Arabidopsis thaliana: one gene and its partners. The protein of the gene in region 1 interacts with the protein of each later gene in a pairwise test. Each region holds a gene or a part of one and is shown on either strand. Other genes may lie near its edges. The genes, in order: AT3G46600, DPA and BEE3.

Region 1 (10,846 bases):
AGATTGAATTTAAGGATTTCGTTCATCCGTTACGACAAAAAGACGTCATTTTGTTATTATAGAAAACAATGTCGTTTTCAGTTAACATGTATATTGACAAAAAATTAACTTCGTTAACGGGATATGTTAACCTATTTAACCAACGAAAGTTTGTTATTTTTGAAAAATAGAAGTTTGATATTTATTTCGTTTCATCGAGAGTTAAAGATCCAAATCAACTTTTTCAATAAGTTGGGGATTTTAATTACATTTTTCATTTCTAAAAAACAATTAATTTAGCAATTTTTTAATTTGTAGAAAAGGCTTTTTAAATCTCATGCTTAATTGAGGCCCATAAGCCCAATAGTATTTTATTTTCAGTTTTCACATAAAGAAAAGAAGACAAAAATTCTATCTTCTTCTTCGCGGCTCTGAATCCGCCATTGAAGTTATTTTCAAGCCCTCCTCAATTTTCGTTTTTGTTCAATATTAATTTGTAAGAGATCTTTACGCTTCAGTTTCTGAAAGAACTTTGCGCTTCTGATTTTGCAAAATTGGAAGAGAGTGCTTCCGTTGCGCTTTTGAAGCGTGAAATCGTGTGTCTTTTGACGCTTCCATGCTACATAACGCTAGTTGTGAGATTGTGTTTGGAAAAAGATGCAAGCTTTAAGCATTTTGCCATTAAAGTCTGGTCTTTTAGTTGGATCAAGATTGGAATTTGAGTTGGATTGTTCTTGTTTTGTAGTTAGCCCTAAGACTACTAGAAAGAGACTTTGCTTTCTTGAACAGGCTTGCTTCGGTAGTAGTAGTAGTATCTCTAGCTTCATCTTCGTTTCGAGTAACAGGAAAGTTCTGTTTTTGTGTGAGCCAAAGAGAAGTTTGTTGGGATCATCGTTTGGGGTAGGATGGGCCACTGAGCAACGAGAGCTCGAGCTCGGGGAAGAAGAAGTTTCCACGGAAGATTTAAGTTCAGCAAATGGAGGAGAAAAGAACAATTTAAGAGTTGATGTTAGAGAATTAGCGTTTAGTTTACGAGCTGCTAAGACAGCTGATGATGTGGATGCTGTTCTCAAGGACAAGGGAGAGTTGCCTCTGCAAGTCTTTTGTGCTATGATAAAGGGTTTTGGCAAGGACAAGAGATTGAAGCCTGCGGTAGCTGTAGTAGATTGGCTTAAGAGGAAGAAGAGTGAATCAGGCGGTGTCATAGGTCCAAATCTTTTTATATATAACAGCCTTTTGGGTGCTATGAGAGGGTTTGGGGAAGCAGAGAAGATACTGAAAGATATGGAGGAAGAAGGGATTGTTCCAAACATTGTTACTTACAATACTTTGATGGTTATTTACATGGAGGAAGGTGAGTTTCTCAAGGCTCTTGGGATTCTTGATTTAACCAAGGAAAAGGGTTTTGAGCCTAACCCGATTACATATTCAACGGCTTTGCTTGTTTACAGAAGAATGGAAGACGGTATGGGAGCTTTAGAGTTCTTTGTTGAATTGAGAGAGAAATACGCAAAGAGGGAAATAGGGAATGATGTTGGTTACGATTGGGAATTTGAGTTTGTTAAGCTTGAGAACTTTATTGGTAGAATATGCTACCAAGTGATGAGGCGGTGGTTGGTGAAAGATGATAATTGGACTACTAGAGTGTTGAAGCTTTTGAATGCAATGGACAGTGCAGGGGTTAGACCGAGTAGGGAAGAGCACGAGAGGCTTATATGGGCATGTACTCGTGAAGAGCATTATATTGTTGGTAAAGAGTTGTATAAAAGAATCAGAGAGAGGTTTTCTGAGATAAGTCTGTCTGTTTGCAACCATTTGATTTGGCTGATGGGTAAGGCTAAGAAATGGTGGGCAGCGTTGGAGATCTACGAGGATCTTCTTGACGAAGGACCTGAACCTAACAATTTGTCTTATGAGTTAGTGGTCTCTCATTTCAATATCTTGCTGAGTGCAGCTAGCAAGAGAGGGATATGGAGATGGGGAGTTAGGTTACTTAACAAAATGGAAGATAAAGGATTGAAACCGCAGAGGAGACATTGGAACGCGGTTCTTGTAGCATGTTCAAAAGCCTCTGAGACCACAGCTGCGATCCAAATCTTTAAAGCAATGGTTGACAATGGTGAAAAGCCAACGGTCATCTCATACGGTGCACTACTCAGTGCTCTTGAGAAAGGGAAGCTATATGATGAGGCGTTTCGGGTTTGGAACCATATGATTAAGGTAGGGATTGAGCCAAATCTTTACGCGTACACAACAATGGCTTCAGTTTTGACAGGACAGCAAAAGTTCAATCTTTTGGATACCCTTCTCAAGGAAATGGCTTCAAAGGGTATTGAACCGAGCGTTGTGACTTTCAACGCGGTTATAAGTGGTTGCGCGAGGAACGGGTTAAGTGGTGTGGCTTATGAGTGGTTTCATAGAATGAAAAGTGAGAATGTTGAGCCTAACGAGATAACTTACGAGATGTTGATTGAGGCTCTTGCAAATGATGCAAAGCCAAGGCTTGCTTATGAGTTACATGTGAAGGCTCAAAACGAAGGGCTTAAACTCTCTTCTAAGCCATATGATGCGGTTGTTAAATCAGCTGAGACTTATGGAGCCACCATTGATCTTAATCTTTTGGGTCCTCGACCAGACAAAAAGAATAGACCTTAGTCTGACGAAAACACATTGTACAAGGTTACCGTGGGGTAAGGCGCATCCAAGGACCCTTAAAGGCAAGAAAATTGCCATTACAGGGAAGAAGAAAGTTTCCAAGTAATCACTTTCTTGTTCTTTAATACTCTTTTTAGTTTGTCTAGTCTCTCTGTTTATATTGTGAATTTTTATCTTCGTACAACATCTGTATTATCATCAGACACATTGATATGCAAACTGGTTTGTTCAGTTCAAAGTTATGGATCTTTTTGAAATAAGTTTTGAATTCTTGGTTTGCCATATGTACTTGCAAGAAAGTAGAGAGAAAGAGAGAGACTCATTCAATATATATGAGAGCAAACAGTTTCTACAACACTTTGAAACCAAAAACAAAGAAATGGAAAGCTAGCAAAATTATGCAAATGATTACAGAACTGTTTTATTACTTCTTAGCAGGTTTCCAGCAAGAAACAGCATAAAGGACTCTTCCTTTCCAGCCCTGAAACATCCAGTGGTTATCATTGTCGATCACAAAATCTTTGTGGTAACGTTCTTTCACTATCTCTTTCCCGTCCTTTACTATCTGTTTGCTTAGTTTCGCTGGTCTAAATCCTGCTCTTAGAATCCTAACCTGCCATTGCTTGTAGGTCTCTGGCCTTGCAAACCGCTCAGACCCTTCACAGGCTATCACACTCATTGCATCTCTTATGATTAGTTCCCTCTCCACCAGTGTCCTGCAATTGTCGTCTTCTGATAATGTGGTCTCATACATGTCAAAGAGTGACGAGCAATGGAAGAGAGCTTCTCTGAACCTTGTTAGGAAGAAGGGTGAATTGTAAGTCCCGTTAATCTCTGCAAACACAAAGAGGTCAGGGTTGATGTCTCTGAATAGTTTCAGAGCCGTGTCTCTCGGTGAGTTGAGGGACACGGTTTCATCAGGTGTATATTGTAGCCGGAGGATGCAGTTGACAACTGTTGTCTCGCCACTATTGATCACCAGATCATCAAGAGTTATGTTCTCCCAATTCTTGGCTATGAAACTGTACTCAAACGGGACATTGAACTTGTCACAGAACCTCTTTAGTCTTCGCCCGGTCTCTTCTACCCGCTCTGATGGACGGAAACCTGACTGAGGAAGCTCGATACCAGTCACACGGAGCAGTGGTGGTCCGATGTCACGTTTTGACAAAGCTTGTATCAGACAAGGCCATTGAAATCCATAGAGAATCCCAAAATCAATGATGTGAAGTGTGGTTGCTTTGGAAGCAAGCTCATTGATTGTTCTGTTTGCAGTGAAATAACACATTATTAAGGTGGGGCAAGCCTGAACAAATCCCTTGTACGCCTTCAAAATGTCCACCATTGATGTTCTGCTAGAAGTAGCAGATATTGGTGTAGTCATGGTTCCTGTAATACGAGCTTCAAGCGCCTCAGCAAAGTGATAACCAAGTCTTTGAGTCGCATCACCGTGGCGAGAAGAGTGTTCTCTTATCTCCTTCAGTTTCTCAAAAGCTCTTCTCTGGTCAAAACTCGCCACAGCTTGCGCGCATTGCATCAAAAGATTCCTCATATCTACTGGCTGATCTGACTTTTGCTGCTTGTATCGATTCGATGAGCCTTTTACGTGTCTTGTTTTCTTCTCTGTTGCTTCTCCCTGATCATTCTTTTGACATACCAACAACACTTCCTCAAACTTCTCTGCTAACTCATCCACCGTAGAAATCGCAGGGAGCTTCGATTTCCTTCCACTCTCAAGATCATCATCTTCATCATCATCCCTATGTCGATACCTTCTGGTTGACTCCTCTGAAACTTCAGGTTGATGCAAACTCGTTATAGAACTGAAGTTTCCAAGAGAACCATCCTCTAGATCACCCGAGATTGGAGTTTGATCTTGAAGCACTTCGAAGAAAGATCTCTCTGCGGCTTGTAAAGCCAAACTGTCTTCCAACATACAAGACTGACCTTCAAGATCTTCTTCCATCAACATGTCATTGATGTACTTAAAGACAGGAAGGTAATCTGAACATACCTTAGACTCGGTCGGAGAAGGGTTGCTCTGAGATTCAGATTCGTTGAAACAAGTGAAACGATTGGTCGTCCCAGATTCAAGATTGTTCCTCGGTTTGCAACAAGATCCAGAACCGGTGTCGAATCTGAACCCATCAACGGGTACTGGCAAAATAGCATCCATGAAACAGAATCTCTCTAGAATGAAGATTGAAACAAGAGTACTTTAGTAAGTCAACGAAAAGAGGAAATGAAAGAGAGTAGTGAGAAGTTTCATGTGAACACAAGTTGCGAGATGTTGTTGATATAAACAAAGGATAGGGTTGATATTTGTCTTATTTAATCTTTGTCTTGGCAAAGAAGAAAAATGAAGTTTCGAGGAAACAGAGAATGTGTGGGGTTGAAGATAAACACTAAGCCGCCACAAAAGGTTAGTAATAATATGTCCAAGACTTTATCTACTGTCGTGGGTCCAAATGGCTAAAAAGCTATTTGTTTTCTTGTTGTTGTCTTCCTTTTGGTCACTTGTCTGGTCAAATATTTGACTTATTAGTTATTACCTTGAATATATTTTCTAAATGTATTTAGAAATTTAGACTTTTTCTTTTTGTATAACGAAATATAAAACTTCGAAGTAAATTAAGTTTGTTTTGGTTCAGTTTTTTTTTCTACAAGACACAAGCAAATTTCAGTTTTTAAATAATAATATAGTAAATTTTATAATTTACTACAATATATTTGTTTGATAATTTATTTTGCATATAATACGCGTAAACTATTTAGTAGTCTGTTACCACATCACCAAAATTCCAAAAAAAAAACAAGATGTAAATCTTAATTGTATAACCTGTCCCTTGATTTTTTTTTTTTTTTTAAGTAGTGATTTTTAAAATTTAATGATTATTTATTATATATAAAAGTTTGAAAATTATACAATTCTCTAAGACATTAATATTTTATAATTTACAATTTTTATATAGTAACATTATACCATGAGACATTTTGGTTTTATATATATTTTTTTAAATCAGACTGATTTGATATGTATAATATTAGTGGTGTTAAAAAAAAGATTTAATATGTATTGAAACGGCAGATTAATGATATTTTAATTTGTTATTAATGTAGATTCAAAAATCCGTTCCGCAAAACCCATTCCAACAAAAACCCAGTTATTTTATTATTGTAAATATTCATTATATGATATGATTCTGAATCATTGTCTAAATATTTTAGTCAATGTGGAACATTAAACATACACATTATTTTGTCAATTGGGTAATACGTGTCCGTGTTTAAAATTAAAAATCACAATATATGTATAAAAAAAAATTGTTTTTTGATTTTATTTTATGTATTATATGACGATTTAAAACAAAATCAAATAAAAAGCATAATTTTAAATATTAATTAAATCTTCTAAATATATATAATATGGTGTATATTAGTTAAGAATCATAATTTTCTTGCTGCGTCAAGTTGCTAAATATATTAGTTTTAAATCGGTAAATATATCAGTCATCATAACTTCTAATAAATTGAACGTTATCCTCTATTATCTCGTCCAGGTCCAAATGTAAACTTCAATATCCTTTTGATTTTATTGCTAATTGCTTTAAATTTTTTCACAAACTCCAATATTCAATGAAAGGCAACAGTTCAGTGAAAAAAAAAAAAAAAAAAGTGGGAAGAGCTTGCCTACTCAATGCTATCTGCAAATATTTGCGAACTTTAGTTCAACATCGACTTCTTTACTGGTTAGAGATCCAGGATTTTGTGCCTTTGTTTGTGGCTATAGCCTTTAAAAGAGGCTTTGAGACCAGCTTATTACTCTGAACGACCCGTATTTAAGGTAAATACCATAGCACACATACCACTCACAAGCACAAGCTTCTGTGTATTCTTTCCTAATATAGGACACATGTGAACCATAAACTGACCAAACATAGACCAGCTTGAGTAACAATTTATCCAACAATTGAATTCTCCAGCACTCCTAGAGTTTGGATGAGGTATATATATATCAGTTCGTTGTCGTTGTGATATGATAGGCCGAGCCATAAATCATATAGACAGAATAAAAATGTCACCAAAGATTTACAACAAATCCTTTACATTGTTAGAAAAAACCCAACCTTATTTCCAATTATAAAACTTTACATTTGAAAGAAAGAAAAAAAAAAACAAAGAAGAACTGAGACCAGATCTTCAACTATGTCAGAATCTTACAATATGGATCATCATAATAATACACAAAGGTTCTTTAGACCAAGAACCTGTTCAGATTAGAGAGCCTCTACCTGAGTGGATGGTGGCTCAGTCTGCAGTTGATGCATTAGGTGTTGTGACCAGTAAGCGTGTGCCTTCAAAACACGGTCCAGAAGTTCCTGTGGCACCGGCTCTCCTCTCCGCTGTTGTGGAGATATCCTTGCCGTGTGGACCAGCGTCTTCCACTTATCCTACAAAGGCAAAGACTCAATACCAAACTGTATATATTAAGGTTAAGAGTTAGTTAAAAAACTAACTAACCTTGAGATCAACATAGGTACGATGGTCTGCGTCCTCGAAAGCACGAACCTTCACATCTCTCCACCTGTAGTTTTCAAACACATTTTGTCAGCAACATGAAGAAGAGAAAGTGCTATTTCTTTGTTTTGTACCTTCCGGTTCCGAGTTTCTCAACGGCTTGGACCAGTGCTTCTACTTCAGTAACTGAGAAAGGTCGACGAATTCTGCGTTGTGCAGCTAGCTGCTGCTCAGTCCTTTTAAACTTACGGTTAGGAGGCCGAGGAGCCAGCATTGCTGCTGAGGCAACAGGAATCAAAGCTCTAGAATGATCACTTGTGCCTAGTTTCCCAAATGAGTCAGCTGGGGATGGTTCTGGCTCATGACTAGAATCCAACGCATTGTCGTGGCATAACGTCACATCATCACAGGCATGATCTGACAGATAACTGGCAGAGAGAAAACAAGGCCCTTAAGCCGCAAAAGATTGATTTTTTATCGATGTGGCATCTCTGAGAGTGAAGAGAAGAGTGAACCTGGATAACAGTGGTTGAGGGGTGGTCTCTAAGCTAGGTTCAAGGCTGAAACCAAGAGAATCCAAGTGGTTGTTCTCCTCAGAGATCCCAGTCTGAAGAAGAGTTTTGCCATCATCTCGGACTTTCTTTCCTTGAACCATCAGCCCGACTCGAAGTCCATCACCCAGTATGGTGGTCACTGCTTCCATCACCATCCGCTGACAACCCCGACATTACAAAAATACAAATATAAGTTCTTCTTGATCAGGATTTTCAGCACAACTAGGTTTTGTTATTACACCTTCAAGGAGCCAACAGTAGCAGTTTCTGGAATCTCTACGAAAAGCTCAGGCACCCTAAAAGACTTGATCCGCAGCTTCACTAAAGAGTAACAAAACAAAACAAAAATATTTCAACGAAACAATAAGCGAACAAAGGATAGATTGAGACTTGAGACTCCATTAAATTACCATGATGATCCCTTGACACAAAGGACGCATTTCGACTTTTCATGGAAGATATTGTTCTGCTTCCTGCGGATGAATTTGCAAAACCGTGTTACAACAGCAAAGACTTACAACATACTAACAAGAGAATGAGAAGATTACAAGTTTTGGACCTTTATGAGTCTTTCCTTGCAAACGGTAATCATCAGAGTTCGAGTCGTAAACACTGTCAAAGTATTTCCTTTTCTTGATGGGATAACTCCTCTGATGATGGTGCAAGTAATAACTCCTCTTTGAGCAATACCATGGCTTTGCATCTGCAAATACCAAACATCAAATCACAATAATAAAGATAGTCAAAACTAAAACAAAAGGCGATTTTACCTGTGTTGTTCTTCGAACCTCCTTTCCAATGTCTAGATGCCAATATCTTCCTAATTCTTCTGTCTCCAATACGAGGCACAGGCCTAGTCATACGAGTTCGAATGTAACCCGAAAAGTTTTCATCATCATCATTTCTACTAAACAAATTTACATCATCCCGAGACTCGTTGGGACTACCGTTCCCACATGCTCCCACCTCGGTACTACTGTTACTACCTATACTAGCTACAACATCAGGCTTTACATCACCACTCACACCCAAACTACTAAAACCCTCCACCTCCTTTCCTACTTTGTCACCTACCAACAAGTGATTAGGATTTGTTATCACAGAGCTAAATCCACACTTGCCATTGTCAAATAGGCTCGGGGATTCCGAATAAGGAACCGCCTTTACGGGGTTTTCATCAGCCGGGTATTCATTCTTTACAGTATTTTGTACAACTAGACACGCGTTTACCGGACTTTTGCTCTCGAGAAGCAAGCTTCCAGCTACGGTGGCCAATAAGTCAATCGCGCACATCTTATCATCTCCTGGTATCTTCTTTTCGTAAATGCGCTTCTTCTAGCAAAAATGTGAACAAACATGCGAGTGATCATTCATGTAACTGATAAATTCTTTAACAGCTAAACAGAGAATATAGCAAAGGGTCATTTACCCGGAGTGATCTCGGAGCTCGAGCTTGAGCAGGTAATTTGTAACCATCATCTCCAAATTCTAAGACTTTATGTGACACCATTACTTGGATGCATAACACAGATGATGTGATTGCCACAAGCGATAAGCAGCGAATAAAACTCACCAATCTGTAGTATATAAGAAACAAGAACCATAAGAAGACTCAATTCAATTCAAGAATCACAGATCGGTAATATCAAATCAAATCTGATAAACCATTCTAAAACCCTAATAAACACAAGATCCGAATTGAAGAACACAAAACGTAATTCAATTATAAAAAAGCTTCGATCTTTGAATTAAAGGATAAACAGATCAACTTAGAACAAAAAGAGAGACACTTTCAAATTCTCAGATCGGAGTTCACAGATCGATGAATGAGATGATTCTGATCATATAAGAAAACGAAAAATTTCAATCGAAGATGATGATAAGTTCAAAAAGATAACAAAAACCCTTTTAAGATCCAAACCAAAAGAACTTGAATTTGAAAATTCCAAATCTAAATTCACATAAAAAATGAATTTTTACTAAGTTTCTCGATGATCAAACAAACACAAAAACTTTTGACAAAATCGAGAACACAAAAACCATCAAAAAAAGTTTAAATCTTTCTCACCTTTCGATGAATCTTCAGTTCCAAGACAATATAGATATCTGAAATTTTTGACAATTTCTCCAGAAAAATGAGAGATCGGAGACGAAGGAATCAGAATTCTTTACGCACTTAATCTAAAATCTTTTCCCCAGTTTTTCCTCTAACCCATGTTTTTTTTACCCAAGAAAGTGATGGAAATTTTTTTTTTTTACTTGTATCAAACGTTACCTATATGATTTTTTTTTCCTTCAACACAAAGGATTTTATCAAATCTCTCTTTTTCGATTACCAAATTATAAACAAAAACCCTTATAAGAAGAACACGACCACGTCTTTCTTGCTTAAACCCCCATAGCCATATAACTCAACCAACCACCGGAGCTACCGGTATTACCAGACCCGTTGTTACCGGTTATAGCAAGTAAAACATTCACCTAAAGACTCGTTGCTTTTCCATGGTCGATGGCCCACGACACACTCGTAACTCGTTAAGTCCTTAGATCTTGACACGTGGTACTGATGTAGTCATCACATGGCTTTGGTTCGTAGCCTTTTGAGTAAATTTCGTCTTGTCATGATAATAATATTAACAAAAAAAAGAATTTCGGGAAAGGAAAAATGTATTTTTGGGTTTATGAGTATTATTTTTAGTTTATATTTGGAATATTCGTTTGTGCTTTTATGTTTTCCTTTTGTATTTTAATATTTTTATTTTTGAGGTTTTTCTTAATAGGAAGAAAATGATAAAATTCCCATAAATATATATATATATATATTTTTTTTTTTGGGCAACATTCCCATAAATATTTATGTTTTAGGAATCACGTAAAAGATAAGATGGTCCCTAGTTTGCTATATTGTATAATTATGAGGTAGTCGATTCATATTAAATGATATTAAATAAAACTGAATATGGTATATGAATTTCATAGTTTTAAAAGAAACATACTTCTTCCGTTTTCATGTTTTAGAACAAAAGTTTTGTATTATTAGATAAGTGTTTAATTTTTAATACAATACTAATTAGTTATTTGCTTTTAATGATTTATATTCTGTAAATTTTTATACTGAAAGAACCGTGTTTTTAGGTAGA
Region 2 (10,846 bases), on another chromosome or scaffold:
CGTGACGGTCACGAGCCTCTTGCTCTCTCCCAAGGCGCGTCGTTTATCTTGCTCATTGTCCCGACATTGATTCGGTCGTCGTTTACTACGTTAGATTTCAGTCTCTTTTACTTCAGTTTTTATCTGAAATTCTTTCAAGAAATATCATATTTTATGTTCGTCGTCTATTATTATTTGTTGTTCGAACTTTCACAACTGATATTGTAAAACAATTGGAGTCATTTTAATTACTAGACCAAGTCAGATAAATTCATTTGACGTCTAATATAAATACGGTATACTTAAAAAATTCATAGATGTATGATTTTGTATTTTTCCTCATTTCTTATTTTTGGGTGCTAATTAAGATAGTACAAAAATAGCATGTATCATAGTGCAACTTATCGATGTTGGCCAATGACTTTTATCAATAAAACTCCAAGATTTGTCTTCTAGTTGGTAAAGCATCATTCCTCTAAAATCATTGTTGACAAAGCAAAATTACAGTATTTGTCTAGACGAGTATCTATGTGTTAATCAATACTTATATTCCTTATTAATTTAACTATGGTATTAAACTAATAACAATATTTTGACTTACTACAATAATTCATCATTTCATTTCTTATCCTCGCTATATAAGATGAACTTTTTTGTCCATCAATATTGTTTTGTCGTTTTCAAAACTATATATATGTTTTTTTTTTCTTTTCGAAAACTATATACATTATCAAAGATCATTCATGCATTGCGCAAAAATAATCTAATATACTTAGCGGGTTGGTCTCCACTACTCATATTACGTATATTTATACATACACACACTCGAAAACAAATACTATTACTATTAGTAACTTTATGAAGAAATATTAATTTTGTATTATAAATTAGGCAGCAAGACGATACTTCTCGGGACTGACAAAGAACGTTCCTTTGCAGTGCATAACGAAATCATTGTCCCTTAATTACTTCCAATAATATTTTCTGCAATATATCATTATATAATCACTATGATTCATGCAATAGCTACAAGGTAATACTATTACAATCATTTTAATATTAATCACTATCACATATTAATATATATCGTTTTCCTATTTCTTACTACAAAAAATATTCAAATATAATGCTCTTCCGGCTTTCTGGATGTGAGGGTTAGACGTTAGTTAGTTTCAGCACATGTTTAAATGAAATCTTGTATATATGTCATGAATATGTATTTACTAATTGTTACAAAATCATATGTGATGATTAACTCATGATATGAGGAACAAATCTTTAACAAAGTCAATAATTGAATTTCATTGTTGCAGTAATGCGTGTTAAATTGAAATTTTAGTTCAAATTACCTACGAATTTGAGTATACGTAGTTTAGTTAGATGTTCAAATAGCTAGCTTGTAGATAAAGTCTCAAATAGATTCTTCTTTGCTTTACATCAAAATCATCAAAAAGTCTAATTAAAGTATTCCGTAAAAGAGACTATAATTTTAAAAATGGAATAATCAGAAAACTATGCGGCATTTGGACCGATATCATCATAAACTATAGTTTAAATTTGTTTATGAGATATTAGACTCAAAAGCTCTCCACAATATTTGGTGACATGTAGTTCAGTTCATATGGCTTAAAAAGAAACATAAAGCACGTACAAGTCACATGTACGTAGTATAATCAAGTCTTTAGGTGAATAATCCGGAACTGGTAATGTTCTTTTGGTAATGTGCTTTTGAATGTCATAGATTAAAATAGATAATTTTTTGACAGAAACTAAAGGTCACCGATTTAAAATTCCATTTTAGTTTTCAGACATTTTAATTCCAAGTGTTGTCATACTTTTTCATGGTTAAACTAAAAAATGTTATCTCTAAATTCCAACAAAAAAATGGATTCTTAATATTATGCCTTCTCGTAGCTAATGATATGGATCATGGTTATAGCTGCTGCGACAGAAATACTTTGATTAATGTGCTGCAAGCTAAGTTGGTTAGAGATTTCAATTAAAAAAAAAACAACAACAGGAGAATATGTATATATAACCTCATTCAAAATTTTGAATAAATAAAAATATGTTATATAATAGAACACATTACACGCATGTATGATGATATCTTCATACTGAAAAATGAAAAATAAATTCTGCAACAGAAAAAAAACCCTAATTTTAATAGAAAATCCAAAAAAGAAAACCCAAAACTAGTAACGAAAATTTAATAGAAAAAACAAAAACCTAGTATAGATCGATCGATGTACTAACTTCAAACTAAGTACATAAGATCATACCACACCCAATAAGAAACTAATAAAAGCATAATTGCATCATCACATATATTGATCACTTAGAGAGATGATTGTTTATATATTGCTAGTAGAAGAAGAACTGAAATTATTAGAGACTTCACTCCACGAACTTGTTGCAGCTGCGGTGGATGCTGCAGCAGCGCCATGAATATTCCAGAGCTGTTGTTCGTCTCCAAAAAGTTGTCTAGACAAGTTGAGCTGATTGTTACTATCTTCCATTTTCACTGAAGCTAATTGCGACGCGGTGGCTGTAACCATAGCTGATGAAGCAGACGAAGAAGAGGAGATAAGGTTATGGAAAATGTTCTTAGGTCGATACTGACCCGACCCGGTAACCAATCCGTAACCTGGATTCTGCTGCTCCATTTGATGTTGTTGATCAAACGGGTCTAAACCGCCTAAAGGAAGTTGGTTTGTTGCCGGGAATCTCCACTGGTCAAAACCGTTTAAAAGAGCCGCCGCTCCTCCACTGCTTCCACCGCCTATATGATAAGAAGGAGCTGAAACGGCACCGTATTGTAAGGTGAAGTTGTCTGTGAAGTCTAAAGGAGGCATAAGCTTAAGAGGAGGCAAAGATGATCCAAGTCCAAGTATGTTGTTGTTATTGCTGTTATGATCATGTCCGGGGATTAACCCTGCGTTGTAAGAAGACAGCAACGAGCTTAGAGACGATGACGAAGAAGGTGGTCCCATCTGATTGTTAGCCATGGCTCGGTGGTGGTATTGGTCGTTGCTCGTGGCGCTGTCTTGTGACTTGCTGTTACCGCTACTGGTGCTACCGCCACCTCCACCGCTGCTGTTTTTGGTTCTTTTGTTTCTACGGCAACCGCCACCGACGGGAACGCTCCTTAGAGCACCGCCACGTGTCCAGTAACGACGGCATGCTTTGCAGAAGTGGCGAGGTTGAGTGAGACTGTAGTTGTTGAAGTAACAGAATTTGGTGTTAGTTGAGTCACATCTTGGACACTTCAAGGCTGTTTCAGGTAATGGTATGTTGGCTAGCCTTGCTCTTTCCGCCATCGAACCTGGTCGGATTAACCCGCCAGGTCCACCGGGAACAGCGACTCCGCCGTTACCGTTGTTGTGGTGAAGCTGCGGAGGCGTTTGTTGCTGTTGCGGTGGGAGGGGATGGTGAGGAAGAAACTGTTGGTTGATGTTATTTCCCGTGAATCCAACGGTGGTTGTGATTGGTTGATGCTAAAGAGAGGAAGAAATGATTCAAAAACAACACAAAAAGTTTTTAGAATATGTGAAAATTTTGATAAAGAAGGAAAGAAAGAATTAATTTTATGAGTATATTCAAATTCAACCACAGATATACAAAGATTAAAAGTGACAAAAGGAACAAGAATATTATTATCCTTTTTTCTTGTTTGTTTAATCTCTCTTTATGTTTTTTTTTCTTCTTCTTTAAATTGGTTCTTGAGTACTCATAAATTATAAAACCAAAGAAAGCCAACAAAAGCCATTTAGAGTAAAAGAAGAGATAATCGGATCATGAACTTACTTGTTGTTGCCAGTTTGATGAATGATCAGGATAAGTAGGAAATGAAGAAAAAACCATCTTTGATCTTTCTTCTTTGATGATATCTTCTCTCTTTAGTTTTCTGTTTTTTTTTGAGCAAATAAAGGATTTAAAGCTGATTTTTTTTTTGGTGAAGGCTTATATGAAGAAGTGGAGAATTACATCAATAAAAACAAAGGGAAGAGCTTTAGAGAGAGGAAAGAAGAGGAGATGAGAGCTTAGCGAAAGATAGAGAGAGAAGGCAAAGGTAAAGGAAGAACCTTTATTCATTTATATACATACCCACACATATACACATATATATATATATATAGAATATGTTTGAATATCATATTAATTATATATATAGATGAATAAAATAAGAATTGAGTGTGTCCACAGTGTTATTGCGAGGCTCTTTTTGTTTTATATATTATATACATATTTGCTTAGGGTTTTGGGAAGGTGGAGGAGAGTGAGTGTGTCCGATTGCTTAACCCATAAGTTTCTTTCTGATTCTCTCTTTCTGGCAATACTGCTACTTCTGTACTATGTGTGCAAATTATACATATACACAGTTTTAGAAAATAAAAGAAAAAAGCACTTAGCTTGACTGGTTGTATGGTTTAAACTTTAAAGTCAGTAAAAATCAGAAAACATTGATGTACGTCAAGATATTTAGAAACGTTTTAATTAGCATGCAAAAAATCGAAAAATAAAATAAAAGATGATAAACGTTAGGATTGGATCTAGGTGACGTTAGTACTTAGTGGTATTCAAGAGAAAACTGCAATTGTGATATATCTTAGTTGTTCTATAAGAAAATTAGGGCTGATATGATATCTACTGCTTTTGTGGACTATATCAGCTACAAATCTAATTATACAGAAGAGAAATTGGTTGTGCTTGAATTTTAGTACGTCTATATACCTCAACTTTAACTAAACAAGTAACTAATAGATTGGACTAAAATGGGCCAACACTAATTACTAAATAATATTAGATGATATTGATTTAAAATGTATTGAGAATGAGTAGATTAAGTTGATGAAAAGAATAGTATATAGTATTTATTTTGACGGCAATTGAAAAACAGTCCAACATTCTTCCGAAGTGTCCCCAACCAATTTCGCTTTTCTTTCCCTCGAACCGCCGCGATGTCTCTTTTTTTCCTTTTCCAGACAAAAAACATTATTTTTGCATGGGAATTGCAAATTTTGAACTTTCCTAGCACACGCGCCATTTAAGCGCGTAAATTGAATCTAACTAGCTTCGGTAAACCAACCTAACCGGAGACTAAATTTGTTAGACCAATCAAACAGAAGGAAAATAGCCAATAGATTCAACACGGTTAGTTTTGGTTTAAAACAATAGTTTCTGTTTCCGTTGAAATATCGCATCAAGTTCGAATAAAAAGGAAAATTGGATAAACAAACATTTGTTGGCCTATGAATTGATTTTACAGTCTCTCTCAATTGAACACTAAACCAGATGTATAATTTTTTAGTATACCAATTAGATCATTACTTCTTCTTCTTGAAGAATTTGGGAATAGAAGCTCGGTCAGCGAGTATCAATGGATCCCGAGTTCCAGCAAACCGGGCCTGAGGTTCCAGAAGCAATGCAAGAACTGGATGAAGAATGAGCGGAGCTATGTTGAGATTGGTGATGTGTAGATGAAGAAGAAGATACTCTGTTCTGTTCTTGCTTCTGTTCTTGCATCAGTTTCAAAATGTAAGCATCATCATGGACCGAGAAAGGTGTGCTGCTCACAACAAAATTTACGAAGATTTCAATTCCGATTTAAGAGATAGCAGAACTGATTTTGATTTTGAGAAGAAATGTTGTTTATTTTTACCTATTGAAGTCGAGGTGTACAAGTTGCATATCTTCAGAAATCTCGATTTCGACTACTGCGTGAGGGTTTGTCTATAGAGATGGAAATAGATTAGGATATCGAAAAACATGAAATAGAAACTACGGACGAGAAAGAGATTTTTGAAGTACCTCAAGTAGAATGAATGGTAAGGTAAATCCTTCTGCTGGGCCTTGAGTCTTCACAACCATCTCTTGATTTCTCGACATAAGACTCTCAAGACTTGAGACCTGATGATAACAACATTTGAGTAACATTATAAGCAAAACGTAGAAAGACGGTTTAACATTTCATTAAGACAACATAAAATGATTCAATACACGACGTATCTATGGATTCTAGAAAACCTGCAATATCAATAACTTTTGTCATCTATTGACATGCATAACAAGATCTCAAATTCTAAGAGAGTCTTGTATTTAAATTTTCCATCAAACAGAAAGAAGATCACCTTTTCTCTCAACTCTTTAAGAAAAGCAGCCTTCTTTTGCACACTGCTCATAACTTTATTACGATCCATCTGCAAATAGAGGTAGAGAGATTAGTAGAGAAGACGAAGAGAGAGAGCAATTACATAGATGAGATAACTGAAAGGAAAAGCTTGGAAGCTAAACCTTGACTTCTTCCACATCCTTTTTGCAGGTAATAGGAAGTCCTTTCCACCGGATTTCCTTTTTATCCCTTGCAATAATATCCAACGCCATGAACACATTGAGCGCATCGTAGACTCTCCGCCTTATGTTCTTCTCATTGTACTGATTGAACATAAGAGAATGTTGTTATAGCTTTTTTTTTTTCCAAATAACTCAAGACAGATGATATGAGCTTTCCATCTCGCTATACCTCATTTTCATTCAAAGGCTTCTCTGCGTTTTGCTTAATTGTGGCAAAATCTGAAATAATTTCGTCTGCAACCTGGAATCACAAGAGCCACAGTCTCAAACGTAGATTTTCACATTTTCTGATACAATGCCTCTATATAAGGGCAAGACTCCTGATTAGAAGAAGAATTTGAGACAATGCTCAACAACTAACTTAGAGGATTGCTTCTTGAAGTGAATACTTGTTCATATAAAGATCAATTCTAATGCGTCTTAAACTGAAAACTCATTGATTACATCACCAATTCCTTAATGGAACAAAGAGAGTAATACCTCCTTGTAAGTAGTTATCTTCTTGGCTTCCAACTTCTGACAAACTGTGTGAAGTTAAATCAAAATCAGCAAAACAACAATACTTTCACTTCAGGCATGTTTGAGCTAAGAGAGATATATCACTGACCCATAACACTGAATTGACGAAGCCCGCCTCCAGAAGTTCTTGATTGCCCTTTCTTCTCTGATCTTTTAAACACAAATTCAATACAGACATTTTAGCTCCAAGTAAAAAAACCAGAGACTTTGTGAGTAAGAAGAATAATTAACACTGACCCAATTTCAGAATCATCATCAACAATCAATTTCCTTCTCACTGGAGTTTTCTCAACGCTCACTGAAGGATGTTGCCTCTGCTTCTCTGGAGTGACAAACAACTCCATCTCCATACTCATCCTTCTCTACACAATTTACCAATTAACAAAGTTAGCTACACGAAATCAAATCAATTAGTTGTTCATGTCTCAAATCCATCGTTGACTAAAACCGATGAATCAATAGACACAATCTAAAAAACCCTAAATTGTTGACAGCTCCAATTTCAATTTTTTAACAAAAGCTAAACAAAATTTATGAAATGGGAATCATCAACCAGTTGGATTAGATCTAACGATGGTGAAGAAAACCCTAGTTCAGAGAAATAAAGGCTAAAGCTCGAATCCGTTTCAAAAGATCAAAGAACGAACCAGTGATCGATCTTCCAATGGCGGAATAAAAAAAGATGGAGATTTTTTTTCTAGGGTTTTGGTTTTACTCTTTTTATTACACAGAGATGCGAACAACAACCAAAAAAAAAAAATCGGAGATGAAATTACTTTGGGTGAGAGTTCCCGCTATAAACAAACAAACAAACTGTAACAACAAACAAACACAGAATTCTCCATAGCCCATCAAAAGCCTCAACAAAAACAAAACACACGCACTCTCTGTGTTCGAACCCAACCGCTACGGTGTCGTTTTTCAACTTTGGCGGGGGATTTAAATGGGCCTTTTGTAACTCTTTGTAATTTTAAGCCCGTTGGGCTAATTATATGTCTAAAATCGATCACGTATTAAACTCTTTGATAATCGATAACGTTACCAAATAAATAATGAAAATTTGGCTGTCTCTATTACATATGTTGACAGTTGTGTTTGTATTCGATCCAATTGTTTAAAAAATAATAATATTAAGTTCACTGAATCTTGAAAAAATGTTTGGTACGTATGCATTTAAGTTATTGAAAACATTATCGCTAGCTTATAAAGTTTATGATTTTTTCGTCTTATATATAAGACATGGTCCGTATCATCAACTTGTAACTATTAAAAAAAAAAACTCACTATTCTCATATACTTTTTATTTCTTTTCTAAGATGCTTATAGTTTTACACGTTAGTGCTTTAAGCCTGCAACGTGTGAGAAGGTTGCGTTGCACTTTCACTAGATCGAAAGAATATATGCATAGTTGCTTGATCCTTTTTCTTTTTCTTCTTTATACGATGATCGTACTCGTATAGTACTGAAAACTATATGATAAATTTCAGCATAACTGTTTGTTCAAGTTGTTAACCGATTAAAAGCTTTAAAGTTTGAAAAAGGATATGTTTATGATAATTGCAACCACTTGGTACTTGCCACTTGTTCTCCATGATTGTTTTTTTTCTCTCCATATGAAGATTAAATTAAATTATTTTGTTTGTAGTTTTAACTAGTTCGAGTTGATAAGAAAGTTTGGAGCATGGCCATGAGAACCAAAGCTGTTCCTAGTTCCTACGCTGCTTGATTGCGGAGAGTCATTCTCTTACTCATTGCTTCATCATCATTTCCAACCGTTTAGAGTTTCACTAGCCATGTTTCTCTTCTTCACCTCTTTTTTTGTTTAACCTTTATGTATACCTTCCTTCTCGTATACCTTAATCAGACCGGTATGGACTAATCAATTCCTCATGCTATTCATAGCTATGCACTATCATAAGATTTTGAAACAATATAACTTCAAATTTGATTTGTTTACTTTGATGTTTCTATGTGTTGTCAGAATATATAAATATATGTTTTGTCATTACAAAAAAAAGAAATAGTGTGATCTATTTAAATGTTTGTTTGCTGTTTGTATATCTGTCGTTGTTTTGGGAGATGAGAGGTGGCAACTCCCAATATCTTTTTGGGGTCATCTTCAATGTCTTCTCAGATCTCAATTATTGAGTTTTTAAAGTCATGTTTGATTCTTTCTTCTCTTTTTTTTGGTTCACTAATTCTACTCTTTAATTAGTCTTCTTTTTTTGTCAACTTTCGTTTATATCACATAAACAATTATATCTATTGCAGTAAATATATTATTCATAATGTTCAAGTGTCCCTTGAGGAACTGAACATACAATAAACAAAATAATGTTACCGTATCATATGGTATGCGTATTTATTCCAGTAGCTTTTTCTTTCTTAACATCTGAAATCTAGTAGAGTAATAGACTATTTATTTAATTTTGGAAATTTAATATGTTTTTTATATTTTTCCTATGTTTGCCCAAAATTGTTTTTACACAATCATTACTCGCCTTCATAAATTAAAAACTGACATGGTGAAATACATCAACAAGCTAATATGATACTCATAAAACTGACTCAAAATGCATTTTTTTTTTTTAAAGTAAAAAATATGTTGTCCTCGTAGTTATCCTCAAACTCTTTGATTCGATTGTTTTAGAATTTATAATACACTTAGATAGTCAACAAAGCTGGATTAGTTAATTAAATTCGTAGGCCGATGTATACTAAACACTGATGATGACGCATAATCCTACTTCAATGGATAAATAACTATACATAAAAAATAGTATTAATTTTGTTACACTCACTGGGGGCACAATAATGCAATTCGTCACTACAATTGATTTAAATAATATTTTAGGATTAGTAATCATATCACTCAACTAATCACCAACAATGTCTCCACATAGACCACAACTATCTAGCAAGATTATAACAACACCTATCACAAACAAGAGTTTTCGCTACATATACAATACATACAAAAAAATCATATACACATCGGTAACGAGAAATCATACATATATCATACACATAAAATTCAATTACTCACATCAAACTCAAGACACATCATAATTCTATTCTTGATATATAAAAAGTTGTTGCTTGTAACAAGATAGATGCGAAATTCGGTTTATTACAAGATGATTAAATATTACTTTTTTTTTTTGAAAAGACAAAAGTTAACCGGTTTATTTCCCTTAATTATTTTTGGCATTTGAATGATATGAAGCTTTTTATTTTGTTTATCTAATTAAAAAATTCCGCAAACCGGTTTTAATTATCAAATTTATTGGTTGATAAGCACATGTAACACCACGATAAGCAAAGCATAAAATCGTAAGAGAGAAAAAGAAACATTGTTTAATTTGTCTAGATGGAACCTATAAAAATAAGACTAGTTAATAAGAGATAGAGAGAGAGAGTGGGGATCAGGTGGTATCTAGTTCAGGCTCCTTCTCTCTTTTTCTCTTTCACTCAGCCACGAACGAACCTTCCCCTTAATCCAATCTTCTTCTTACATAAACACCTCTCCTCCCCCACCGTTTCCAAAAGAGAGAAGCTTTCTCACTAACACCAAAAACAAGTCTTTGAAGAAGAATAAAAAGATTGGATTTTGATAAGTTTAGTGAAAATGGGGGAGCTTTTGTGTTCTTCACTGTGGAACCCGTCACGATTCATTGTTGCTTCTCTCAAAAGGTATTTTCTGGGTTTAGCTTCTTAGAGGTTCTTCGTTCTTAAAGGTCTGTTTTTTTTTAGGTTGTGATACTTTGAATGTAAAAAAGGGAAGATTTTTAGTTTCGATATGTATATCTCTCGGATGGGTTTGAGTCGGAGTTTCCCGCCGCTTTTTGGGGGATTTCGGGAAATTCTAGGGTTAGGGTTGGATATTGTCTTCCTCTAGCAGTCTCTGCCACTTTTAAAATCTCTTCATCTTTCTTTGAGAGTGAAAGAGGTTTTTTTATTTGTTTGTGTCTTCCTGGGAATCGAGATTCTGGAT
Region 3 (10,846 bases), on another chromosome or scaffold:
ACATCTGCCTAGTCAGCCAACATATCAGGTATTGATACTCTTACTTTTTGACCTTTAGGCGATATGTTTGATGTTTTGCAGACTGAGTATGAAATTATGTTGCTTTATCTATGTGCTTTCTTCCGAGCACTACACCTTCAACGAGTAGAGATTACCCTTTAATGAGAATTCTCTCAAACATCTATCATTGTTATTCTTAATCAGATATGAGAAATGATTTCTTCTGGCAATAATTCTTCTCATCTTTTTTCATTGTCAAGCTATCATCATATTTCTAGACTTCTAGTTCTGATTCCGTTAAAATCATGTTCTGCTTTAGATTAATAAATCATCTAAATGGAAACTCTACATCTTTTTGGTTTTGCTTTTGGGTCTCACTGCTTGTAATCTTGTTTATTGTTTCAGGGAGGAGGTCAATATCGTGGAGACTACAACAATAACCAATTAGCAGGTCTGATGGCTCAAGACAGAGGTCCTTCTTGGATGGCTGGCCAATCAGAGAGCTCGAACATTACTCATCTGCCAGGCTTAGGACCGGTGCCTCCACCAAGCCAAGTTGGGCCTGGAGGTGGCCCACCACCTCGCCCTGCACCGGTAATTTATCTTTTAACTGCAAGGCACAGCCATTGAACCGCTGTTACTGCTAGGATGTATATTCATGTCGATGACTCTGTAGTTTTATTAGCCCCCCCAAATCAATCAAATTCGACGTTCCTTTCCAGTAGATGTTGTAGTTGTCTTTTGCCGGAATTCAAAATGAGAATTTCTGATTACAGAGCAAAGAGCTTTTGTTATTTTTTGCTGATGATTGTGTTTTTCTTACTTGTGCAGATATCTGCAGAGATGGAGAAGGCACTACTTCAACAAGTGATGAGCCTTACACCAGAGCAGATCAATCTGCTGCCACCAGAACAGAGAAACCAAGTCCTTCAGCTTCAACAGATTCTCCGACAGTGAATCTCATAGATAATCGCTTGGTCTCCTCCATGTTAGAACTTTGAAGAGACAGGTTTTGGCTTTGAATGTAAGGCCTGAGTTAAGTTTGGGATAATTTGTAAAAAGAAGAAAAGTAATTAGATTTTTTCAAAGTTCAAGGTATCACTAAATACCTTTGGTCATATCCCCTGGAGAAAATTTATGTGTTCTCTTTGATTTAATGTTCAGTAACAATTTTCTTCCTGAATTTCAAAGTTACGAAATCTTGCTTACAGTTGTTTTGCAGACTCTTTTTTCACTCTTTTATTGCAGTTGTTCCAAGGAAAACAAATTATGCGAAGAAAATCGTAATTGCATACATGTTTTGATCATAAATTTTCTAAGAAAAATAAAATCGTCTGCATGTTTCTGGTGCTGTACTGTTACTACAATTGTTTTAGTAGATATGACTTAAAATATTAAGAAAGTATTAAGAATACTTAAAAGTGGAATTGAAGATTTTGTGGGTTAAGTGTCTTAAGTGTTAAGACTTCAGAGATTTGAGGAGCTAAACAACTCCTCCACATTCAAATGGAGTCACTTCCAAAATTTTGGTGGTTGGTGGTTCCCACAATGTTTTTGGATCCTTGAACTTGCCCATTTTTGTTCTCTGCCACCAAATGATGTGATCACCAAATCTATTAATAGAATACTTGTTGGTCCCAAATATTTATTTGTTTCCCAAAACTATCCCCTTCAACAATATATTGAATTATTTTTCATTTTTTTGATTAATGTGTTAAACATTTGTTCTAAGGTCTAACCATGAAAGAGAACCTTTAAACTTATATCTTAGAAAGTTTGGATTCATTGATTTGTTGATCATTTCCAAAAGGTAAATCATTTTTTTCATAGACCATGTTGTAATAAAAGTAATATCCCTGTAGAACTAGAAACAATCAACCACTATGCAATTGAACTATTCAAAATTAGGCATTTTGATGTATTTTTTATATAAAAATATATGCAATAAGATGAAAATGAAGAAAAAAGCCCCACATATTTCCATCTTCTTTAGGGCATGTAATGGTCCATTTCAAGCTGTCCTCCCTAGTTTCATGGATGCATACATTGCATCTATTTCCCCTTTTTCTTTTTCCTCGTTATATATAATTTTTCCTTTTCTATGTTCAAGTTTTATCTTCTGCTTTCGACTAATTTATTTTGAGATTAATTCATCTTTAAAGCTCTAGACTAAGGCACAACCATTTTGAGAGCAACACATGCCATGGATCATCCACTTCCACTTTTTGGAGTTTTCTCTTATAAGTTTGACCATTTATGAGTACACATGCCATGGATAAATTTGACCAAATGGACTAAAGGAAAATGAAATTTAATATTATTGATGATGAAACAGAAACACTAATAGTAATACAAACTAGTAGTATTATTACATGCTAAAAGAAGAACAGATATTTAGAAGTTTCACAAATGTTCTTCCCAATCATGTTTACAATGAATTGGGAACATCAATCACAGTCTATGAACTATGGAACCGTCATTCATGCAATAATTCATTCAATAAAAGGAAATTAAAGCTATGTTTAGATAAGTACATAGTCCACACAAAAAAAGGAAGAAAAATCTTTGGTTGTTCAACGATTAAACACGTCCCTTCAAAGTCTACAATCCACATTCTTTCACAAATTGCATAAAACCTCTCTTTGTCGTTGTGTTTCGTTTCGGAGACATACATCATTATGTCTTTCTTTCGATAGTAACAAGTGAAGGGTATTTTTGTCATTTTCTTCCACTGCTCCTGATGTCCAAGTCCAGTTGTTGTTCAAGTTTATCATCTTTGCTTGTCTTTATTTGACCTCAATCAAAGTTGCTGATGCAAAAATTTAATCTATATTGTTGTAAATATAATGTAGACACTTCCAAATATTAAATATTCTTTTTATTTTTCTTAAAACTGAGATTTGATGACTATTGTTTTGGACGTTCAAGGCTTTCCAGCTGTGGCTGATTTGAAAATTTGAAGAGATTATATGTATTTTTCCTTGTTTTTTACTAACATTGATATATATTTCTTTGTTTCATACAAAAAAATAATAAGTTTGAATGTTTGATACTACATTTACGTGACAACATGATTTATATTTTCTATAAACTGCCTTATAGGCTTATATTCGAACTTATTATACACTAATCGTATTATAGTTTTTAACTAGCTAAGCCGAAATAACATTCCTCATTACTATTCTCTAAAGTGTGATTGATGAGGAGGCTTCGCTTCTACAACTTTCAAAACACTTTAAGAATCAATCATATTGTCAAAATTATTGTGGGATCTTACTAAAACTTATGTCAAAAATATGGTTGGATAGACTGACACTAATTCATTGTGGTTCCGACTTTTGTCTGCTCGGTAAAATTTTGATCGTTATGTATCCCCACTTTGAATGCAATCTCGAGGCAGTATATATATTTGTAATGTCGAAGTTACACAAGTATACATATCATATGGCATCGAGATTTCTTGAAATTAATCTTTAAAAGTATCTTTTTAAATCCAAAAAAAGGAAGAAAATTAGAAAGACAAAAAAAGGAGAGCAAAAAACAAAAGTCAAAGGGTCCACGATGATGAATGGAAGACAGAACTCCCATCCCTCCCTTGACCCATCTCCACTGCCTCACGTGCCTTTGCCTTCTGCGCATTTTAATATTCCAATTAAAAATCGATATTTAAATCATCTAATTATAATCACATCAAACCATATAGTTAAATTAAGAAATAAATAAATCATAGCAAACATCACCAGTCTTACGAGAAAATTTTAATTAAAAGTTATAATTCTAGATTCTGTACCTGCATGGATTCCACAGCATCAGTCTCCGAGTTAAAGTCATAATACGAACTTGCTGCTGTAAGCTTCATAGATAAAAACTGAGTTCACATAAAAAAGAAAGTAAATTAGTATAATTATTGAAACGAATGGAATTGGTTAGATGACCTATAACTTAAGAGAAATTAATTGTTATTGTTATACCTCGACTTGATTTTGTAAGGACTGGACGTAATTAATTATCTCATCAAGCATAGTAGCCATTCCCATTGTCTGCATCACCAAATATATATTCAATAAAAGAACTAATAATATATTTTCTTAAAGTCTAAGCAAAATATAATCACCTTATAACATCCGGGGACTATATCTTGCAAGCATTTCAATCTCTCGTTTATTTTCCCTCGTCGAACCTGAAAGTTAATTTTAATTTTTTTACTCATAGTTTTCATTTATATTATTTATGTACACTATAATTTGTATAGAGAAAATCAATTTTACCCGTTCTGCTATGCTGTGGCTATCAGTGGCTTGGCCTCTTCTAGCTCTAACATGAACAACTTCTCTCTCTTTCTCTTCTTCTCTATTCTTCGACCTCTTCCCTCTCCTTGAAGAATTCTGTGATATCAATAAGAAAAAAGAGAAAAACAAAGTTAGATTAATTCATAGAAACTGAGAGTACTCTAATATATGTGTGTGAAATTAGGGTTTCTAGGTTAATAAAATACATTTTTTGTCGAAATATTTCCATTTATGGAAACTTGAGCAGAAGAGGTAGAGAGAGTTTGATCAGAGACACTGTTCTCCGACGTAGAAACAGCTTCCATTAATGATTTTCTCTTCTTGGTATCGAATTGTGAAGAAGACTCTTCGTTGTTTTGGATATTAGAAGGGAAGAATATCCCTTGATGAAAATTATTCTCGAGAGATTTTCCGGGAAAATGATCAGGGAATTGATTATGAAAGAAAAGAGAATCGAGAGAAGAAGAGAAAGGAGGAGGAAATGTTTGGAAATGATGAAGCGTGTTGCTCAGTTCTGCTAGTTGTCTTATGGGATCATCCATTGTAAATGTCTGAAAATCAGAAGAGAGATTCGCCATTTCTGAGTTTCAATTTTTATTTTTTTTTTGAAAATTGGTGAAAATAGAAAGTGGCTGTTTTCGAGCGAGTGGCAATGTTTATATATAGACTAGAGTTTTCTTATTATTATTTTTTTGAAAAAAATTGGAATAAAAGTGGGGTTAATCAAAAAGATGAGAAAATAAAAAAGGAGGGCCAATGAAAGTGAGAGTTATGGGATTTTTGTATAGGAGTGGGTCACACATAATTTATCAGGAGATATATCCAAATAGAGAAGTGGGCCAACGTTTGGTAGCCGGACCAGTGAGCACTGTTTAAGCAAACTTCTTTCATTATTTCTCAAGGGGGAAGTACTTACTTAAGACCTCCTCAACAAAGTATTTTATTTCAATTGGTGCTCCCTTTTCTGCTTTCTTCTTCTAGTCTATTGTGATTTGTGACCAACGAGCGAGTAATCCAATCCTATTATCGTACATTGATTGCATTTGCTATATGGATTTAAGATTTCATTGGTTATACAGTTTTAGTTATTTTACCGTTTAGTATTAAACACTTTGGTAAGAAGAATAAAAAGTTGTATGGATTATATTCAAGAATAGTTTGATTGATGATATTCACTGGTTTCAAATAGTATTAACATTTTTAGTTAAATAGTACCTATTTATGTTAAACAAAAGAAATATTTTTGTATGATACTTATAATGTGATGTGATAGTATACGAGCTAAATTAATGTTGGCTATTTATAATTTTTTTTTTTTTTGGAAAACAATATGTGGATTATGCAGATTTACATCCGAATTAAGACGTATCGACCACCTTGCCACAAACTAGTAGCAGAATACATGTCATGATCGATTTATCTATATTTATAGTTTATTGAATAAACATAATTAATTAACTTAGCTAGGTCTACTTTGAAATTTAAAATGTGGTCTAAGTTGAAACTTAAAATGTCGAAATCAATATAAGTTCGTTTTAACTTGGTTTGGTGTCTCTAGACTTCTGAAAACGTTTTTCTTTCTGGTATATTTTACTATATAGTACAATTAGGTTCCTATCAAATTAAGTAAATTGACCTATCACTATATACCATTTTCAACTGATCAAATCACATGCAGTTACATATGCATTCAAGACTCAATCTAACTTGTTGTTTTGACTTTAGGCATTGTTATTTTTAATACAGTACTTAACTAATTGACACACCGGAAGTGCTGATAACAAGCATAAATGGTCAAATCTTTTGAATAATTGTTCGACAATCTTTTTAAACCCCTTGATTTTTTAATTCTTTTTGATAAAATAAAACCCCTTGAATTTCCAAAGCTTTTTAGGAACAGACGACATATATAAGATTTTGAACGAGTCTTTAGTCCCTAATAGTGTTGGACAAAAATAGCAGCCAATTCAAAGTTTTTGATTTACAACTGAAACAAATAGCAAACCCCAACTTGAAGAAAGAAATCCAAAAACGACATAACTGAGGAAAACAGTAACTGAATACAAGATGTATGCTACATATCAAACTTTACATAACATACCAGGCCCGACCATGAGTGTATTACTGGGTCTAAAAAAACAAAACAAATAACAAAAACATAATTGTAAGAAAGAAAAAGTCAATTGATGGCAAAAAAAAAAAAAAAAAAAAGAAAGAAAAAGTCAAAAAAAAAATTTGTAAAATTTGAGACCATAAAAACTAAAAGAGTAGTAACTACTAAACATTCAAAAGAATTTTACTAAAAAATGTTTTGTCTTCAATTTTAAATACATTTTGAGGTTTATTAGTTTGATGGGTTTTAGGCATGTACCTGACTTGTTACACACATGATACACCCAATCGAAAAAAATCAACAAATAGAACGGAACCGGAAAACGATATCACATAGTATAAGACTACATAGCTTAGTTTTGGTTTTAAAGAAAACTCTGATAAAAAAAAACCGGTAGTTCGACTTCTTTGCATGTGAAACTAAACTTCCTTAGTAATAATACTTAGCTTGTTCAACTTTTGTTATGGTCATTAATTAATTATCTCTTTACTTAGAAAACAAAAAGTCCTATAGTCTGTAATTAGGTTGGTGCCAAGCTGTTCCTCTTTAGGAAGATGGAACTTGAAGTTGAAATTATCGTACCTATAAAAATTATTACTTTGAAAGACATATTACCTAGGTTTGCCTAATACAGCTCCACTAAATCAGACTCGATTACGCAAAATAAACATAAACTTCGAAAATACAAATTTTCTTCTGTTGCTAATTCATATCAAATTATGTATTAAGATCTCAAATATAACGAACGATCCATAAACATATAATTTAAAAGGTCCTCTTCTTTGTCTCTTTATATATATATACACGTAAATATGGGTGACCTTACATGTTTTGATCTTCATATTCATCTACCTTCGGCGAAGGAAGACATCGAAATGGAGTTCCTCGAGTACTCCTCAACGATGCTATCATCATGTCCAGCCGCTCCACGTCCACTACTTCTTCTACTCTTAAAACTGTTTGGTTCGCTTCCGTTTAATCCAAAAGTTCTTGAACCGGCTCCTGTACCGGTCCCGGTACTTGTATAGCCGCCTCCTCTACGACCTTGGAGTCCAGGCCGACCCGGTTTAGGCAATCGTCTCTGTTGTGATGTTGATTGGTAGGTAGTCCTCTCTTGTGATGTTGATTAGTAGCTTAAATGTAAAACCAAACAATTTTCGTGGGTCAATAAAAGCAAAAATGAAAAAAAATATTCGATCTCTTAGTCCGGCCCATGATCAGTTTCAGGCCCAATTCAATCCGTCGCATTATTAAAAATCTCTGAAATCGACTTTTAACTTGTGAAACCGTCACAGTCGCCGGGAAAAAATCACAGATTTCTTCGACGCCGCCGATGAGGTTCCGGTACGCAATGGTTTGTTCGTCGAATCAGAACCGGAGCATGGAAGCTCACGCTCTTCTTAAGAGACAAGGACTCGACGTTGCTTCGTACGGGACTGGGTCACATGTAAAACTACCTGGACCATCTCTGAGAGAGCCAAACGTTTACGACTTTGGAACTCCTTACAAGCAGATGTTCGATGAGCTCAGGCGCAAAGATCCTGAACTGTATCCTCTTAATCCGTTCCTTTCTTTTGTTGCTTACGGATCATGATTTTTCGAATCCCTAAGTTTGCTTTGGTCACTGAATCAGTCTCAGTCTCCTTCTAATTCGATAATTTGCTTACTTTCTTAGTCTCCTTGAAATTGTTTCCTAATTCACATTTAAGTTTCTTGGTTTGATTTAAGGTATTGATTCTGGGAAAAAGTATGTTTTCTTCTCTCCAAATGACTGAAGAAAAAGTGTGTGCGTTTTAGTAAATATACGAAATTTCTTGCTTGTAGCTATTGTGAAGCATGTTCATTGGGTTGTATAGGGAGATTTGTAAGCTTGAAGTTTGATGCACTTAACTGTTTTCATCAGATACAAGCGGAATGGTATTTTGCAGATGATTAAGAGGAATTTATCCGTGAAACTTGCTCCTCAAAGATGGCAAGATAATGCTGGTGATGGTGTGTTTGATGTGGTTATGACTTTTGAAGAAAAGGTTTTCGATTCAGTCCTTGAAGGTAATTGAAAAATCCTCCCTATTTTACAGTTAGATACTTTGTTTGAAAATTGCTTCATCCTGATTGCTCACTACGTACATATTGATCACAAACTCTTATAACATTGGAAGAAAAAAATCCTGGTATCAGTAGATTTGTTCATCAACTTATCCCATTTGAAGAAAATCGAAATGTTGACACTTTGATCTTCTACATGCATTGTTTCCGAACAATCTTCTCATTTGGTAAATTATGTTAAACTAGTTAGGTTAGATGTTTACATATGTGAATTGATGAAGTCTAAGTCATGTGAAACTCAAAAGTTCTGCTTAGTGATTGCCGTTTCCTGTAACTTAGTTTACTTTTTTACCTTGCTGTAATTGTTAGCTGAAAACCCGATTGCAATCATGGTTTGATAGAACTGTCGGTTTTCTTGCTGCGTGAAACATTCCTGTGTCTTAATATCTTTATCTCATCAAGTTAGATTTGTCCCCAATCTGCAGATCTCAACAACAGAGAACAATCACTTACGAAAACAATACTTGTGATGAACTTGGAGGTTAAAGATAACCACGAAGAAGCAGCTATAGGTGGCCGACTTGCCTTGGAACTCTGTCAAGAGATTGAAGGGAATGAAACATGGGAAGATACGATCGATGACATTGTTGCGGGTTTTGAAAAACAACACAGGCGGAAACTGGTCTACAGCATCTCATTCTACTGAAGATACCATCATCAGTCGCATTAACGGTCAGATTATGTAGAGTGTTCTTCTGTGACCCCAGTCTTGAGATGTTGAACAAATTATTTTTAGTTCATCGGTTTTATATGTTTTAGGGTTAAATACTTGAGAGTGTAGAAGAAATTGCATGTTAGAAACTGAGAATTCGTCTTCCAAACACATTCTCTTGTGTTGTTTCTCATTACTTGAAAGTTGAAACAGAGCCTTGTCAAAAAAAGTAATAAAAATATAAAAGATAGGTGACACACGACATGTCTTAACCAAGCATTACTTCATGTTTAATGTCACAATCTAAGTTAACGTGTTTATATAAAACCCAAGTCGTGTACCAATTGAATTAACCCTACCCCTAAAATCCTGTACAAGTCAATTCAATGTTTCTAGTTAAATCCAAAGCCCGTGAGATCAGATATTTAAAGACACCCAATGACGAAAAGTCTCTTTAAAATTCATAACCTTGACTATATAACGTCCCACGGTTCTAATTGTTAGTTTCAGCAGACTCACAAAATAATGAAAAAGAGCCAAGAAACGCAAGAAGACTCTCTTCAACAAGAAAGTCGTCATCAACTTCACCAAATCGTCATATCCAAGATATTAAGATCTCATAGATTCTTCCAAAACCTCGTCTTGTATTCGTTTCTTATCGGTTTCGGATTCGGACTCGGCTTCATACTCAACGTCCATATAAGAAACGTCTCTTTCAATCCTCAACTCTTTCGTCTATCTTCACTCTCCCCATCATCCTTCTCTACACCACCGCTTCAACCGCAGCCAGAAATAGTCGTTCCCTTGAATGATACGGTTGTTGCGACTAATGATGATGACCATGAAGTAGGGCAAAAGGGTCATTATCTGATGATGCCGGAGAACGTGGTGCATAACATGACGGAGGAGGAACTCTTGCTACGTGCTTCGAAGATTCAAGAAAAGACGTTGAAGATGACAAAGAAAGCGGCGTTTATGTTCCTGACGAGAGGGAAGCTTCCTTTGGCTAAACTGTGGGAGAGATTTTTCAAAGGCCATGAAGGTCTTTTCTCTATTTACATTCATACGAGTGACCCTTTTTACTTTGACGATCATACGCCCGAAACTTCGCCGTTTTATCGCCGGAGGATTCCAAGCAAGGTCAGTAGTCAATTTCCTCATTAATTCCCCTCAGATTATATAATTGATATAGTCGAATTCTTCATAGATAAACTTAATTAGCCTAGATAATCTTGATATAGATATTTAAAGATATATTTGCGATATTCGGGTTATTCAGCCTAGATAATATACTAGAATTTAGATATTTATACTTACATCCATATGTTTTTGGGATTTTTTATAAAAATATATATATAATTTACTTTGAAAATTAGTTAACGTAGAGTATATATACTCCAAAAAGGGAGTACCAAAACAGTGTTTATAATTTTTTTAATAATATAAATTAGTTGTTTTCTTACGGATTAATCAGCCAAAATAAAGTCGCACGTCGTCTTATAAATATTACCTACACTACACATACATGTCGACCAAAAAAGCTACTACGACATATAACCTAGTAGTTGTAAAGAAAAACATATACAGTATAATCTACTTTGAAAACTAGTGGTGCTGCATAAAAGTATACTTAGGAGGGTATGACAAAATTAACGACAGTGTTTAATTATTATTCATATTATTATG

Evidence for each region.
Region 2: the proteins of AT3G46600 (region 1) and DPA interact in a two-hybrid assay, tested with the Arabidopsis thaliana proteins (one large-scale study listed by BioGRID).
Region 3: the proteins of AT3G46600 (region 1) and BEE3 interact in a two-hybrid assay, tested with the Arabidopsis thaliana proteins (one large-scale study listed by BioGRID).

What each region holds. Positions count from the first base shown.
Region 1 is NC_003074.8:17,152,012-17,162,857, reverse strand, and holds AT3G46600 (GRAS family transcription factor), read right to left. Parts: upstream 4,935-10,846; 5' UTR 4,811-4,934; coding exon 3,059-4,810; 3' UTR 2,893-3,058; downstream 1-2,892. Other genes in the region: AT3G46610 (Pentatricopeptide repeat (PPR-like) superfamily protein), read left to right, coding at 637-2,634; TRFL1 (TRF-like 1), read right to left, coding at 6,912-7,085, 7,156-7,219, 7,287-7,580, 7,668-7,864, 7,948-8,027, 8,117-8,179, 8,266-8,409, 8,477-9,041 and 1 more. UniProt on the Arabidopsis thaliana protein: Probable transcription factor involved in plant development.
Region 2 is NC_003076.8:537,216-548,061, forward strand, and holds DPA (Transcription factor DP), read right to left. Parts: upstream 7,741-10,846; 5' UTR 7,500-7,740; exon of another isoform or gene 7,215-7,499; 5' UTR 7,209-7,214; coding exon 7,090-7,208; intron 7,003-7,089; coding exon 6,941-7,002; intron 6,858-6,940; coding exon 6,814-6,857; intron 6,575-6,813; coding exon 6,503-6,574; intron 6,415-6,502; coding exon 6,274-6,414; intron 6,180-6,273; coding exon 6,111-6,179; intron 5,890-6,110; coding exon 5,791-5,889; intron 5,713-5,790; coding exon 5,642-5,712; intron 5,549-5,641; coding exon 5,347-5,548; 3' UTR 5,103-5,346; downstream 1-5,102. Other genes in the region: AT5G02460 (Dof-type zinc finger DNA-binding family protein), read right to left, coding at 2,334-3,476, 3,787-3,843. UniProt on the Arabidopsis thaliana protein: Involved in the regulation of the G1/S transition. Increases the DNA binding and the transactivation activities of E2F proteins after heterodimerization. The complex DPA/E2FA promotes cell division and acts as a regulator of the endocycle.
Region 3 is NC_003070.9:27,754,048-27,764,893, reverse strand, and holds BEE3 (BR enhanced expression 3), read right to left. Parts: upstream 4,954-10,846; 5' UTR 4,868-4,953; coding exon 4,496-4,867; intron 4,386-4,495; coding exon 4,269-4,385; intron 4,181-4,268; coding exon 4,115-4,180; intron 4,041-4,114; coding exon 3,972-4,040; intron 3,869-3,971; coding exon 3,791-3,868; intron 3,632-3,790; coding exon 3,548-3,631; 3' UTR 3,338-3,547; downstream 1-3,337. Other genes in the region: ESP1 (hydroxyproline-rich glycoprotein family protein), read left to right, coding at 1-28, 406-594, 832-957; AT1G73820 (Ssu72-like family protein), read left to right, coding at 7,492-7,501, 7,698-7,950, 8,306-8,451, 8,934-9,154; AT1G73810 (Core-2/I-branching beta-1,6-N-acetylglucosaminyltransferase family protein), read left to right, coding at 9,686-10,300. UniProt on the Arabidopsis thaliana protein: Positive regulator of brassinosteroid signaling.